Linked DNA regions of Saccharomyces cerevisiae S288C. The protein of the gene in region 4 interacts with the protein of the main gene of each other region in a pairwise test. Each region holds a gene or a part of one and is shown on either strand. Other genes may lie near its edges.

Region 1 (4,068 bases), on a different chromosome or scaffold from region 4:
CATTACTAGGCTTCATGACTGTTGAATATACTGCATCCGATTTGGCAACCTATCAGAATGAGGTGAACGAACAAATTGCCAAGAATAAAGCACATCTTGAATCATTGACTCATCCAGGTTCGAAAGTGACATTTCCGATCGATCAAGATATTTCTGCTACACCTCAAAACCCGAACTTAAAAGTTTTCTTTTTTGATATCGACAACTGTCTCTATAAATCATCCACGAGAATTCACGATCTTATGCAACAATCTATACTGAGGTTCTTTCAAACACACTTGAAACTATCACCTGAAGATGCTCACGTTTTGAATAACTCTTACTACAAAGAGTATGGACTTGCCATAAGGGGACTTGTAATGTTCCACAAAGTGAACGCACTGGAATATAACCGGCTTGTGGATGATTCCTTACCACTACAAGATATCTTGAAACCTGATATACCATTAAGGAATATGCTGTTGAGATTGAGACAATCGGGAAAGATTGATAAATTGTGGCTTTTCACCAACGCTTATAAAAACCACGCAATACGTTGCCTGAGATTGTTGGGTATAGCGGATTTATTTGATGGATTGACATATTGTGACTACTCTAGGACAGATACGCTGGTCTGCAAACCACATGTTAAAGCATTTGAAAAAGCCATGAAGGAAAGCGGGTTGGCAAGATACGAGAATGCTTATTTTATAGATGACAGTGGGAAAAACATCGAGACAGGTATCAAATTGGGCATGAAAACATGTATTCATTTAGTTGAGAATGAAGTAAATGAAATTTTGGGGCAAACACCAGAAGGCGCTATTGTCATTAGTGATATATTGGAGTTACCACACGTTGTGTCCGACCTGTTCTAAGGTATATCAATTTTAAGTATAATTGTATATAAATCTACTTGCATTAGATGCCTCTATAAAATAAAATAAACCAAAAAAAAAAAATAAATTGCACCCCCCGTAAGTTCTCATTTACGTAAAGGTTGGGCTTGTTGCTTCTTTTGTTTGGCAACAGCATAAATAATACCTGATAGGAAACCAATAAAAATGGAGAGAATAGATAAGAAGTTTCTTGGAGCATCAAAGAAAATCAAACCAGACAAGGCAATTGGCAGCTTGTTCAAAGCCCCTACCATCGAATATGTAGTAGACGAAGTAACACGAACACACCAACCGGAACAGTAAGAAATACCGACGGATGCAACACCACTGATGATCATAGCAGTTAGCGAATCGTTAGAAAAGTTATTGGTCAAATTAACTGAAGACCAATCTTCCACACAGAAAGAAAACAGCAATAGAATAGGTAGAGCCAAAACATTGTTGTAAAACATAGTGTCGAAATCCTTGAAGTTAGTTAACTTAATTCTCTTTCTCATTATAAGAACGAATAATGCAGAAGTGATACAGTTGGTGAACATCCAGAAATAACCTGGGTTAAAGGAGGCAACAGCACCGGCTGCTCCTTCAGCCAATGAAGCAGCCTTGGCAGCCACAGCTTGCTGGTCACCCCAAGTTGCAACGACAGAAGAAAGGACCATCAACAAAAATGATGACAATTCCATGGAGGTGACAGAGCCACCAAAAAAGAGAACCTCACCATAAGCAATCAAGATAATAGTCAAATTCTTGAAAATGGTGTAAATTGGAACAGCCAAGTATTGTAAAGCCTTCGAAGAGGTGTAGATCATCAAGACCAGTAAAAAGGAAATAGGGAACCAGTTCTTGGCGTCTGTTTTGTTTAATGAACGGAACTTCGCATAGCCCAGTATACGTAGGATAATCAAGGTTATAGTACAAACCAAAGATTGCACGAAAAGCATGACAAAGTTCATGTTGAAATCCTTCAAATTGACGACGAACTTGTTAGTCACCGTCATTAAAATAGAGGAACCACAGTAGGATAAAATAGAGATCGGACCGGAATTGGCAACTGAAGCCCAAGGGTTATGGCCTGCATGACCTGTTTTCAATTCAGACATTCGGGCGAAAGATACTGTGTGGTTAGTGTGTTTGTTTTCTTAGGCTCTTTTGGTAATTAAGAGGATGTCAACAATTAATCGGCAACAAGAAATAGGCTTGGCAGCGTTATATATATTCTGTTTTTCTGTTCATTGTTTGTTCGGATCGCGAAATTTCAATTTTTTTCTTTCTTTTTTTTTTTTTCGGCCAAAACTATTATCCAAGGCTGGGTAAGAGGATTCTGAAAAACCCGTTTAGCTTTTCGTATATTGCGATTCATTACGCGTTTAGGCGACGTGTCTTCTTTCGTCAACTGTGATATTTTTCGTGTTATGGGCGGCTAATTCTTTATAAAAAGGGAAATTTAATCATTATGGCAAACTCAAATGGTGTTCCTACATCTATATACCACCATGCCACTTTGTACCACCAGTCATATATTTTCTTCTACTCATAAGGGAGCCGCATATATATATGGCGCACATTGCCATGGTCCATTACAAGCTTTTTTCTCGTAGCACTTTAGAATGTCTATTGAGTTGCAATATTCAGGCAAAAATGCGTTCTATCTTCAGAATGTAGCTGTTGAAATTGTTGTTTGACTTTTTTTGGACTAGTAGCCGTCTTATCGAACCAAATAGAAGCATATGTTACCTCATTATTCTCTCAATATGGTATTGGAGCGGGTGTGGGTGTGTTCCTTTTGTTCTTAAACGATAGGTACGCATTAAACACCGCTTATGCAGATGGTACATCATATACTGCTTATACCCTTTCCTACTTCAGATGAATATGCAAAACATGTACCGCAATGATGCGAGAGTAACTTTAACAAGAGCTCTTTCGCGTGTGTAGCGATAATATTCAGGGGCGACAAGTGTAGTAATGAAGATATAGTTCTCACCGGTACCTAGATGTCACTACTCGGACACCAGATTACTGTAGCAAGCAAGGTCAATGTCGAGACTAAGCATGATCATAAGTATTGGCGCCCGACATTGCATTTTTTTCCTTGAGATCATATCACAGTGCATGCCATCACAAATAGTTACTTTGATTATTTCAGTGCCATCGCATGACTTCAGTTTTATTACACCTTTAATGATGTAAAAGCGCCGTCAAGATACTAATATAGACGCACGAGTTTCGTTCGCGCGTCTTGGTGAGATTGAAAAGTTATTTTGCCTTTCTTGTCGAGATGATGGTATTTCCCTTTTTTATTTAACATTCATTAATTCCTACCTGTAGTTATCAACCTTTACAGCAACGCAAGTGAAGTGGCTTACTATATAAGCGTAACTCCAATGTGCTTGGTTAGTTTTGGAAAATTTCAAGGCGTTGTTGCAGAATTGTACCTTTAAACATGTCTACAACAACTATGTGGATGTAGCATCTCTATCATGACGCAAACGCAAACATCTCTCTCTCTCTCTCTCTCTAAGTCGCATGTTAAGGCCGATAGTACTGGTTTAACAGGGTTTGCCAAGGCCTCAATCGTTAAGTTAGCTTCTCCACTTTCCCCAGCATCAATCTTATGGTATGATCAACAATCTACGAGGAATTGCAGAAATGATACCTGTATCACAAAGGAATTTGCGTATCATAGCGTCAACTGGAACCATGGATGGAGCTGAGAATTTATTCCTCATAAACGAATTCAAGTTTCTTTCGCTCTGCCAACACAAAAATTTCAATTTCTGTCCTACTTATGTCCTATGAGAGCCATAATTTACACCTCACGTACATAGTTGCGGTAATATGATAAGTACACTTTTTCTGTGCTTCATTATCGTAGCGATAGGTATACCACTCATCGTAAGTGTGGACGTAGCGATGGAGGTTTCTGTGCCATTACCACCACAACCATTCTACTCTTGTAGTGATGCCGCCAACGTGGAATTATGTGGTATCGTTGTTATCTGCCGTTGACTACCCTCGGTCCAACCAACGTAAAGGCCAATCTCACTTTCTAAGAAGGTCTTATCAGGGTTGATACGGACAAACTCTTCATAGCCTACGTCGAAATCAAATTCTGCTGAAGCTGTGATTGTAATCAAACCTAAAATGGTAATTACTGCTCGAAAAAAAAGTAGAGAAATTCATGGTTGAC
Region 2 (4,466 bases), on a different chromosome or scaffold from region 4:
ATTTTTCAGCAAGATAAATTAATGTCTCGCCCGGGCCATAGACAAAAGAAGAAAATCTATAAACATTCCGTGGATCGCCATGTGATATTTCTATTTAATATAGGCACATGGCTATGGCGAAACCTTAATGTGATACTTATGGTACATATATGTAACATGCTATAGTTACAGTAAGGATTGGCAACTTAATTCGTTTCCTTCGATTTTATACTCTTCGAACGTATTTGCAGTCATTGGCAGTAGAACATCATTTAGCACATCCAACGACTACCGTCGTTGTGCACGTGACACTCACCCCAATTGGACACTGACTTGAACTAAAATAACAGCGTGTCATATAGATAAGGAAGATAAATATATTGGAACTGGTAGTATCACATTTCCATCATGAAAAACCCAGTGTAGCCATATCGAAAATATCAGAAACGAGTGGTAACACGGAACCTATATATATTACATAGGCTGCAATGAGTATATTGATTCATGATATCGTAGCTGCTTGAACTATTTTTCAAGGCTTCAAAAAATATCATGGTATTATTAGCATGCAACTTGTGAAAAAATAAATATGCATTACAGTACAAGGATCTGAGTGTTAGATTTATAGTCGGGCCTAGTTGCACTCTTAATAATACGGTATACATAATAATGGATTGCCATCCGACAACTATAGCCAGTCACGCATTTATTGAAGCTTCCATAAAACATTCATTAGAAATTAAAGGGTACAAAAGTAAAAACATTATGTATAATAGAGAATTAGTTTCGTCAATTTTTTTTTTTGCTTTTTTACCAATTTACCGAAAACTAGAAGATCAGCTGGAAAAGAACCTCTTGTAAATTGGTCTATTGTCATGATCTATTGCATCAGCATCGTAATCTGCGGTTCTTCTCTCCGGTGGCACCCATGAGGCCGATTTCCATGCTGGCACACCTTCCAGCCACATAGTATTCACCTCCTCCAGTGTCAGGCCTTTTGTTTCTGGGACAAAGAAAAAGACATAAAAGTATGCAAAAACCAGACAGCCTAAGAATACGTAACCGTAGTAAAAGTTGATTGCCCCGGTAATGAATGGGGTAAAGAAACTAATCAGGAAACCCCACATCCAGTTTGCAGCTGTTGCGATTGCCATTCCTCTTGATTTGACCCTAAGAGGAAACGTCTCTGAGACAATAACGTAACAGCCGCCTGCCCAAGTGGTGGCGAACGAAAAAATGAAGAACATAGTAAACACAATCATACAGTTACCGGCGCCCTGAGAAGTAATGTCTTGGTGACTGCTTCCTTGAGGCCACAACTTTGTCACACCGACGGAGGCAAACACAGCAAAGCAGCATAGCATAGAAGCAGCACCCCACAATAGACACGTACGGCGTCCAAACCTCTCAATGGTGTATACCGCTATGAATGAAGAGAAAAAATTAACCACACCGATAATGATCGAAGTCTGAAAGGAGTCCTTTAGACCGACAGATTTGAAGATGGTGGTACCGTAGTAAAAGAAGTAGTTGTCACCGGTTAATTGCTGCAGCGATTGGATCATCACTCCCATGAGAACACGCTGAAAGACCTTTGTTTTAGTGGAGAGTAGTTCAGACCATGATGCGTTACCTGCCAGCTTTTCAAGTTCAATTCCTGCCTTTATAGTGTCATATTCAACTAGCAAGGCTGGATCGTCAACTGAGACTTTGTTGGATTTCGATAGTGAACGTTTCGCTTCCTCATCTTTACCAACCTCAATCAGGTAACGTGGTGATTCTGGTACAAACATCATTCCACTAACCATGAATGTAGCCCAGGCAAAGCAAAGACCAAGGCCGACTCTCCATTGAGTGGCGTTGTGATAGTTCTTGGTACCGTAATTGGTACAGTATCCTAGAAAAATACCCATCGTACCCATCAGCTGGTACAATTGGACCAGAGTTCCTCTGATATGTTTGGGAGCAACTTCAGATATCAACATTGGGGAAAGGACAGCAATGCCTCCCACTCCTAGGCCAGAAATAATTCTTCCAATGAAGTATTGGTACCACTTGTTTATGGAAGTTATTTGGATTAGGATGCCTACAACGTAAATGGCAGTAACTGTAATCAATCCAATACGACGACCATATATATCACCGACTTTTGACAAGACAATTCCGCCTATGGCGCAGCCAATGTTGAATATTGAGACGATCAAACCCATTCTTACTTTCGATAAGTAGTAGGTTCCCTTGTCATTTTTTTGACCGAACCTTCTGATGAAATCAGAAAGGTTAACAAAACCAGAAATGGTACCGGTATCCCAACCAAAGATGAAGCCGCCAAATGCAATCATCAAACACAGGATTGCGACGGTGGTATACGCAGAGAGGGGTTTTTGAGGTAAGTCAATAGGTGGCTCATTGGCATCTAGGTTAAGGGAATTTTTAGAGTCACCGTGTTCAGTCTTAACAGAGGGAGCGCCTACTGCTGAGTTAGAGTTAGACATGGTAGTAGATAACTCATTTGCGGATGTATTATTAACACCTGACATGATATTGAGTAATAACAAAAGCGTTTAGAACTAAATTGTGCAATGATTATTTTTTTCAACTCATACCAAAAAAAGAAGAAGAAAAAGATAGGAACAAGTGTGCTCTTCTCTAGTTACACAACTGTGACATTATATACCTTTAATTAGCGAAAAAGAGGAACTGAGAAAGATGAGCCTAGACCTTAAGAGCTAAGTAGTATACGGTGTGTCGAACTGCTACTGATACTTTGAACGAAGGTGTCCGAGTGTATGCATTGTTCGTGTGGTCAGCATTTATTGTGGAGGAGGCGGTTTCATCTACAATTTCCGACGCCTGATTTTCCACGGATATAATTTATTTTTTGACACCTGGAGTTTACATTTCACAAAATTTCTTTCTTTTTTAGTTTTGCACTGATTTCCCCTGAAATAAAGAAAAAAAAGAAAAAGAAGGTTTTGTGAAGTGCCAAGGGATGCACGAGAAAAGCACTTATAACTCGCACGGAGAAATGATTATGTAATTTTCGCGGAGAAATGATTATGTAATTCCGCGGAGAAATGGTTATGTAATTTTTGTGGGGAACTGAACAAGGTCAGTTTACGCTTCGTACTTTGTCGTGGGACTACGTATACGCAAGATTGCGGAGGCAGTGCAATAATGGGGTCTGCTTGCAGATGGTATGATCTGCTATAACGGGCCAAGGGCCAGGCACGCTCTTGCAGAACATACCATGTTATATCATGTAGGTTGTGCAAACATTACCTAAAACTGAAAGCTTCGTTTACATACAGCACTCCTTCCAGATCCTAAATTTACTTTGTTCTTTTCTTATTTTCGATCATTCGTAAGACGTCCATAGGCACGTAAAAGACATATATAAGTAAGAAAGACTTCTTCACTCGAGGAATTAGCTGTACTAGAATATATGTTCCATTCACCAGTCCAAACACACAAACAAAAGTGAAAGTTTTTTCATAAAGAAAAGAAAGCAACGTACAATGACTATTTCTTCTGCACATCCAGAAACAGAACCCAAGTGGTGGAAAGAGGCCACAATCTATCAAATTTATCCCGCAAGTTTCAAAGACTCCAACAACGATGGGTGGGGTGATATGAAGGGTATTGCCTCCAAGTTGGAGTATATCAAAGAGCTTGGTGCCGATGCCATTTGGATCTCACCATTCTACGACTCGCCACAAGATGATATGGGTTACGATATTGCCAACTACGAAAAGGTCTGGCCAACCTACGGTACGAACGAGGACTGCTTTGCCTTGATCGAAAAGACACATAAGCTTGGTATGAAATTTATCACCGACTTAGTCATCAACCATTGCTCGAGCGAACATGAATGGTTCAAAGAGAGCAGATCCTCAAAAACCAATCCAAAACGTGACTGGTTCTTCTGGAGACCTCCTAAGGGTTATGACGCCGAAGGCAAGCCAATTCCTCCAAACAATTGGAGGTCTTACTTCGGTGGTTCTGCATGGACGTTCGATGAAAAGACACAAGAGTTTTACTTGCGTTTGTTTTGCTCCACCCAACCTGATTTGAATTGGGAGAATGAGGACTGTAGAAAGGCAATCTACGAAAGTGCCGTTGGATACTGGTTAGACCATGGTGTAGACGGCTTTAGAATTGATGTGGGAAGCTTGTACTCCAAGGTTGCTGGTCTACCAGACGCTCCTGTGATTGACGAAAACTCAAAGTGGCAACCCAGTGATCCTTTCACAATGAACGGACCACGTATCCATGAGTTTCATCAAGAAATGAACAAGTTCATCAGAAACAGAGTGAAGGATGGCAGAGAAATTATGACAGTTGGTGAAATGCAACATGCTACTGATGAAACCAAGAGGTTGTATACAAGTGCATCAAGACACGAACTTAGTGAGTTATTCAACTTTTCCCACACTGATGTCGGGACTTCGCCCAAGTTCCGTCAAAATTTGATCCCATATGAACTA
Region 3 (4,476 bases), on a different chromosome or scaffold from region 4:
ATCCTACTATTTCAACAAAAATGATTTCATCAAAATTAAATCACGCTGCAACATTGGTGAAGAATCTCAAAAGGTTAGTAACATCAATATATCGCGGAGTAGCTATCATTGTGGCAGTTAACTTAAAGGATATACAGTTAATTCAACAAGATTTTCAAGTCCATTTTTTTTGGGCACGCTGAACACGCTCAATGTAGTACTTGTTTTGGAAATCACTCGCAAGTTTAATGGGACGAATTATATCAGTAATGTGTAAATTCCGACACAATGTTCGGTTAGTAGATTTACTGCTGGATTATTGGGTTCACCCGTAGACTGTTGCCGACTCCAAGAAAACTATGATCTCAATACAGGCATAAAGAATTGTTGTATCTGTGCCCATGTGATCTGTACCTTTTTTGCGGTACCAAAATCGCATGTTGCACTCACACTACGGAACACATCAACTTGTAACGACAACAATACAAAATACCAGGAGACATATCACTTTTTTTCGCCTAGAATGATTTACAATGGCATACACTTAGAAAAGTGCTATGACATGACGCCCTTACTAGAAGTTACATGATTCTCCTTTTTTTTCTTTCTTTCTTTCTTTTTCGGTACAACATAATTAATGCATTCATACAGAGCGCATTTCCAGCATCATTTATTGGATAGTAACTCCTCCCGCACTTTCAATATCAATGACGCTGACTCTTTTACTGACGCTGAGTCTTTACCGACGCTGAGTCTTTACCGACGCTGAGTCTTTACCGACGCTGAGTCTTTACCGACGCTTGTGAAAATAAAAAGTACGACACAGCTATATGCGTCGCAAGTTCAGATGTGGGTCTATCGAGCATGTTTATCCTATCCTGTTATGTCATTTTTATCGGAAGTAATAAAAGTGTAGAAATCACTTGTTTTTGCCTTTTTTGTGATTTTGCTTTCATTTTTTTTTGCCCTTTTTTCACCAGCTTGGGGATCAACATCCTAATTTCTTGTTACTTCGATTATGTCTAAAAAGTGCCTTGATTTGAGAGAAAATATTTTCCTCATCTGGCAAGACAACCAAACCATCTTCAGTGAATTCTTCGTGTGTCGCCTTGTCTATTAGTTCCGGGTCTCTCATGAACATTGTAAACGCAAAGAACGGTACCGTACATGCCAAGCCAACCGTCATTATTATTCGTTGAACATATCTGTAAGATTCAACCACAGCATCTCTTTCGGGTGAGCCCCAAGGATAATCACTAATGAATGTATAAGGTGATGCATATGCTATTTCTGCCAATGTATCGTTTCCAAGGTTCTTGTAGAGTTGGTTAGGCATGGTTTGTGTCCATATGGCACCAGAAACGGAGGCACCGATAGCAGCGCCTAGCTTTGAAAAGGTATACTGGATGCCGGTTATTACAGCCATCCTACTATGCGTAGTCATGGCTTGCAGTATGACGATCACTGAATTGCTGCATAGGAGACCACTCAAACCCATGATAACAGATGCAGCGATAACACCTTCATGAGACCCAGATCCTCCTCTGTATTTGTAAAAAAGGCCCATGCACACCATCCATGCAGCACAACCTCCGATTACAGAAAGTTTCAGTTTCCTTGTCTTTGCCACCAACAAACTGTAGAATGGAGATGCAGTAGCAGCAACAAAGTCAGGAAGGTTTACTATCCGAGCAGCCGAAGTGGACGATTCTTTCATCGATACCAGCAAAACAGGATACAGATAGTCACACGAAATGAAAAAGGTGAAAAAATTGAAAAAAGTAACACCAAGGGGTGCCCAAATTCCACGATCACTTAGTAATTTGAACGGTAGAAGAGGAGATTTGGCAAATTTGGCCTCCCAATATAAAAAAATGAAAAATAAACAGCCACCTGAAACTAAAGTGGCAATTATTTTTGAATTGTGCCACTTCTGTGATGTCTCATTAGCCAACGTCAAAGGGACAAGGATACACCCTAGCGACACAGTTATTAATAATATGCCAACAATATCGAGTTTCCAGAATAGAAACACCAAATTCTCAAATAATCCGCCCGTTCTTTCCTTTCTAGCCTGTTCTTTGAGAGATCTCCACTCAGCAGTCTTTGAAGATTTGTACTTCATATAAAGAATAAGAAATATAATTGGCAAGGCAGAGAGTGGGTAAATAAAAGCCCACATTGCAATATTCCAGGACCAGTTTTTCTGAGGATTTGCTGCTGTGATAATATTACCTGAAATCCATGGTATTATGATATATGGCCAATATGAGGCGTACTGGTAAAACATTCTCCACTTCAAGGAGGAGAAATCAGAAAGTATTAATGTCAGGAGCAGATTTGTTCCGACGTATCCACAGTTATAGAAAACCGATCCTGCTGCATACATTGTGAGACGGGTCGCCTGTGATTGAATGATGGTTCCCATTATATAAAAAATAGTTGCAACTAAAAAAAGCCTTAGTCTTCCGAAGTGGTCAGAGAGTCTGGAGTAGACAACTTGGGATCCGACACTTACAACAGCATTGATAACTTGGACAGTTGAAAGTAAGGAGTGTTCTGAATATGAGTTCGTCGCATAGCCCGTATAGGTCGATCTAAGTGTGTAGTCTAAACTAATTCCAAACCCACATACAAACGCGGTACTTATCAGTAGAATTTTATATTTCAAGGAATCAAACTGTGCAGACATAATTTCGTTTTCTTTGAGCTTAAAAAAGGTCGATGTCATAGAGTACGTGTCATCGTTTGAGTGACGTTCTCGCTCAATAATCTCACAGGACTGCCTAATTCCACTTTTTTTATTACTTGAGGCACCAACAACACTAGAACTCATCCGATAATTTATTTACTTGATTATTCCTTTTTTTTTTTTTTCTCTTTCCAGTCCATAAAACTATTTTACTTTTCTTATTTATGTAAATAGTATTTAAGATTCTACGGTCGCTACATCTGCTAGAAATGGAATTACTTTAATACATTCCATGTTCTCATATATACTTTTACTGACACCTTTCGTCACTATTTTTTGTTTAACTTTTTTTTTGGAAGTACTAAAATTATATGCTCGTAATTATTGAGTATCAAAAAAAAAAAAAAAAAAAATTGCTGTGACACCCCTTCAATGTGGTGTCTATACACCTGGTGACTTTAACTTTAACTTTGACCTGTCGTCGTACAATCAACTTAGTTTCCGAAAATCCACGACGAACCAGTTATACCGAAGACTTTTGTACGACAAGAATACTGTACCGTCGAAACTATCTCTTTTCAAACTGATGAGTGAAGCTTGTGTTTATGTCTGTTGAAACAAGGAAAAAAATGCGGTGCCTGTCGACAGGATATGCGCACAAGTGCAAAATCATCAAAAAATTGAGTACCTAGATCCGGTGGTGTAGGACGAGCAAAGTTCCTTCATAAACAAACCGTAAGGGTTACTGATACACAATTTCCTTTTTGTAAAGAGTATTTGAGCAAATTAGTCAGCGATTGAAAACAACACCCTTTTTTCTATATATAGTAGGTGAAAGTTAACATGCGAGTAAAAGTAGTGCCACATTTCCTTTGCAGCAGGTGCAAATTGGTACATATTTAACAGATAGCGCCGCACCTCATATGCAGCGCGTACATGATACGAGACGACAAGATATGCAAAAGATAATAGTGTCATCACACCTTTATGAGAAGCGAATTTTTTTTTTTTTTTGGTTTAAATATATATATATACATATATATAGATATAGATATACACATGTATAGATGTATTCTAGTTATGCTTATACCTAGAACTGATCAGACCAGATCATACCTGGTATAGAGCTTAATCGATAGAAATTCAAAAATATGGAGGAAACTAAGTACTCTTCGCAGCAGGAGATAGAAGAAGCATGTGGTTCAGACGCTTCATTGAATGCTAGAGGTAGCAATGATTCTCCAATGGGACTTTCCTTGTACCTCTGCCTGGCTTCGTGAACTCTTGTACTATTCATAACTGCACTGGATATTTTGATAGTGGGAACTATTATTGACGTGGTCGCAGAACAGTTCGGAAACTACTCCAAAACAGGTTGGCTCGTTACAGGCTACAGTTTACCAAATGCTATTCTGAGTCTCATTTGGGGAAGATTCGCATCTATCATAGGTTTCCAGCATAGTCTCATTTTAGCAATACTTATTTTTGAAGCCGGATCCCTAATTGCTGCCCTTGCCTCTTCAATGAATATGCTCATTGTCGGTAGAGTTGTTGCTAGTGTTGGGGGAAGCGGACTTCAAACGCTTTGCTTTGTTATTGGTTGTACGATGGTTGGTGAAAGGTCACGTCCATTGGTGATTTCCATCCTAAGTTGTGCATTTGCTGTAGCTGCTATCGTTGGTCCTATAATCGGAGGTGCCTTTACAACCCATGTTACCTGGAGGTGGTGCTTCTATATCAATCTTCCTATCGGTGGTCTTGCCATTATTATGTTTTTACTCACATATAAGGCCGAGAATAAGGGT
Region 4 (3,303 bases):
GGAGGCTACTATAAGGGACATCACTAAGATCACAGTGCACCCGTCGTTATCATGAAAAAGCACAATCAATGAGATCAAACTCACGATTATGATGATCATAAACATGATCGGTTTACAATGAGCAATTTCATAAAGTACATAACTCAGATGTGAACTGAATGTGTCTTCGGGAAGAGCTACATTCTCTTCGATTAAATGTGCACTGGGTTCGTCGAGAGTATCCATCTTTACGTCGGTATTTTCTGAAGGTGTTTGCATGGTCAATTGATATCTTGCCTTAATATGGCACTTATAGATGTTATCCTGATCAAAATAGCCAGCTGTTTTATGCTTTTTTAACGTTGTTCACCATTGTATTTATTATTTTTGAGGCATTTTTCACGTATTGTTGCAACGTCCCGAAGGGATTCGATGTGATCGAAAAGCGTCCCGGCTGATCTATTGTGATGACCAGCTATCTCACGTTGGCGAGCATCAAGCCGAGGATCATAAAGCAAAATATATAATAGCATTTGCATCTAAAGTAAACTACATAAAATTTGTTTCGAGCGTACATAACTTTTACACCCAGATGGACTGACACTTAATTGCGGGCTTCGTAATGTTCTTGAAGTTAATGATGCTCGTACATTTTATATTAGAATATACTAGATAAATACCAAAAATTCGGCCCTAAGGCAAATCAACCTCTGGGTATTGCTTTCTCCAATACTCAAATTCAGCTTCTTTGTGAATTTCCGCAGCTTTAATAAGGTAAGCTTCTAAAACTGGATCAGAACTAAAGATATAAGGTTTTACCATCTCATTTGAAACCTCTTTTGCTGGTGTGTTTGACTGCGTATTCTCTGCACCGTTCGTTGGTGAACTCAAATGTGCATTCGACCTTGTCTGTTTGATAAGGCTTTTGAAAAATTTATGGCACCTATGTTCACAAAAAAAGTAATACGGAGTATGCCATATCCCATGGTCAAACAGATACTGGTTCATATTATATGCGATTATTCTCCATTCCTTCCCCCCTACTGCTGGTTTACGTGTAATGACTTCTACTAAAAGCTTAATTATGAAACCCTTATTCAAGGTCTCAGACACGAAGGCAGTTATACCGATCAATAAAATGATAATAGAGAGGATAAGAGAAATCACTAAAAACACAAGGATACCTTTGATATCATGAAAAAACGTAATCAATAAAACCAAACACACAGGTATTAGGAACATAATCATTAGCGGTTTACAACGAGCGATTTCATTAAGTATATAACTCCAGTACGAATTGAATGTATCCTCTGGAAGAGCCACATTTTCCTCGATTAAATGTGCACTGGGTTCGTCGAGAGTATCCAACTTGACGTCGGTATTTTCTGAAGGGGTTTGCATGTTGAATTGATATCTTGTCTTGTGTAAGGTTATTATATGGTTTTGGAGGTTGTTATGCTGATTCGAATTACGACTTGATCATGATACTAATTGAGCTTTGACGAAATATTTTAGCAATTCAGAACCCCTTTCATATTCTTTTTTTTTTTCATTTTTAGAGGCGTTTTTTCACTGATAGGTACAGCCTCCGAAATAATATATAGTGAAGATATAATAATAATAGTGCGAGCCTTTTACAGGGCCATTATGATCATGAGTGAGATCCAGAAAAGCACATTGCATGGCAGTCGGATGTTGAGAATTGGGGGAATTTTGAGATAATTGTTGGGATTCCATTGTTGATAAAGGCTATAATATTAGGTATACAGAATATACTTGAAGGTTCTCCTCGAGGGTCTAGGAATCCCCATAATGGAGTCTATATTTCTATATACCAATCTTACGATTATTCCTCATTCCGTTTTATATGTTTCATTATCCTATTGCATTATCAATCCTTACACTTCAGCTTCCTCTAACTTCGATGACAGCTTTTCATACCTTATGCCATCATCTCTACACCGTATATGATAATATATTGATAATATAACTATTAGTTGATAGACGATAGTGGATTTTTATTCCAACAGAATTGCATTCCAACACATTGCCCCTAGCAATAATAGAAGTCCTACAATTATCAGATTTTTTAGCCAATTCTCAGCAACAAATCTAAATAGCAATTGCTCTTTTTAATTAATGGTTTACAGTTGTGATGCAACGCAATCCTTTTTCTTATAATTGGTTTACATATTTTATCACTGAAAATAATGTTGTATTACGGGCTCGAGTAATACCGGAGTGTCTTGACAATCCTAATATAAACAGTCTTAGGGAAGTAACCAGTTGTCAAAACAGTTTATCAGATTAATTCACGGAATGTTACTTATCTTATATATTATATAAAATATGAATCATACTAAGTGGTGGAAGCGCGGAATCTCGGATCTAAACTAATTGTTCAGGCATTTATACTTTGGGTAGTTCAGCTAGGGAAGGTCGGGTTTTGTCTCATGTTGTTCGTTTTGTTATAAGGTTGTTTCATATGTGTTTTATGAACGTTCAGGGTGACGTATTGTCATACTGACATATCTCATTTTGAGATACAACAAATAACATACAATTTTGGCAACTTGGCCGAGTGGTTAAGGCGAAAGATTAGAAATCTTTTGGGCTTTGCCCGCGCAGGTTCGAGTCCTGCAGTTGTCGTTATTTTTTTTTACTGATGATATTTCACCTCTTCAAAGCATACTCATCTTCAACTCGGATTCAACACGAGAAAGAATTATTTAAATCGGTACAAAGCAATACACTATTCAAAATCCTATCGTTTCCCAATTGTGTTGTGCGCGCGTTATTCTGCGATTCCGTGTAAGTGCATAGAGTAGGTTGTTGCAATAAAAAATGTCTCTAAATAGCAGGCCGACAGACATAACCAAATGATTTCCGTGAACAACCTCAAATTTTCAGGCTTTGAACGTGATTTTCCCAAACCCTGTAACTTGATGTGTAAATTTAAAATGGAATTGGCATGCCAGCTATCATCCCTTAGTGCTTTCAGTCCGAGAGTCTCCATATGTCTGACTTCACGACCTAATTGAACCGGCGCCCATTTCTGGGACATCAGCACTTGCGGTGCTGTTCCAAATAATATCTAAGGTAAGTTTAATGGCCCAGCCCGATCGTGAACGTTAAAGAAAGCATACGTCAAAATATTGGTACCTTATAAGAGTAAAAAAATGCTGTTTCATCTCGTTTGGTAGAGTATATATAAAAAGAGCGGTTTCTGAATTGTTGAAATTTGAACTGTTCAAGATTTACTTAGTAGTATGAACCTGCAGGGATCATCCAGAAACAAAATGCTGTAGCTTCTTCTCTGAATTG

What was found.
Region 1: the proteins of UIP3 (region 4) and VRG4 interact in a two-hybrid assay, tested with the Saccharomyces cerevisiae proteins (one large-scale study listed by BioGRID).
Region 2: the proteins of UIP3 (region 4) and HXT11 interact in a protein complementation assay, tested with the Saccharomyces cerevisiae proteins (one large-scale study listed by BioGRID).
Region 3: the proteins of UIP3 (region 4) and GEX1 interact in a protein complementation assay, tested with the Saccharomyces cerevisiae proteins (one large-scale study listed by BioGRID).

Annotation. Positions count from the first base shown.
Region 1 is NC_001139.9:74,804-78,871, reverse strand, and holds VRG4 (GDP-mannose transporter), read right to left. Parts: upstream 1,979-4,068; coding exon 965-1,978; downstream 1-964. Other genes in the region: SDT1 (nucleotidase), read left to right, coding at 15-857. UniProt on the Saccharomyces cerevisiae protein: Involved in the import of GDP-mannose from the cytoplasm into the Golgi lumen. Defective copy causes severe glycosylation defect and abnormal retention of soluble endoplasmic reticulum proteins. Involved in vanadate sensitivity.
Region 2 is NC_001147.6:23,326-27,791, reverse strand, and holds HXT11 (hexose transporter HXT11), read right to left. Parts: upstream 2,520-4,466; coding exon 816-2,519; downstream 1-815. Other genes in the region: YOL155W-A (uncharacterized protein), read right to left, coding at 574-708; oligo-1,6-glucosidase IMA2, read left to right, coding at 3,498-4,466. UniProt on the Saccharomyces cerevisiae protein: Probable glucose transporter.
Region 3 is NC_001135.5:5,512-9,987, forward strand, and holds GEX1 (glutathione exchanger), read right to left. Parts: upstream 2,816-4,476; coding exon 968-2,815; downstream 1-967. Other genes in the region: VBA3 (basic amino acid transporter), read left to right, coding at 4,195-4,476.
Region 4 is NC_001133.9:181,847-185,149, reverse strand, and holds UIP3 (DUP240 family protein UIP3), read right to left. Parts: upstream 1,381-3,303; coding exon 673-1,380; downstream 1-672. Other genes in the region: KTD1 (DUP240 family protein), read right to left, coding at 1-258.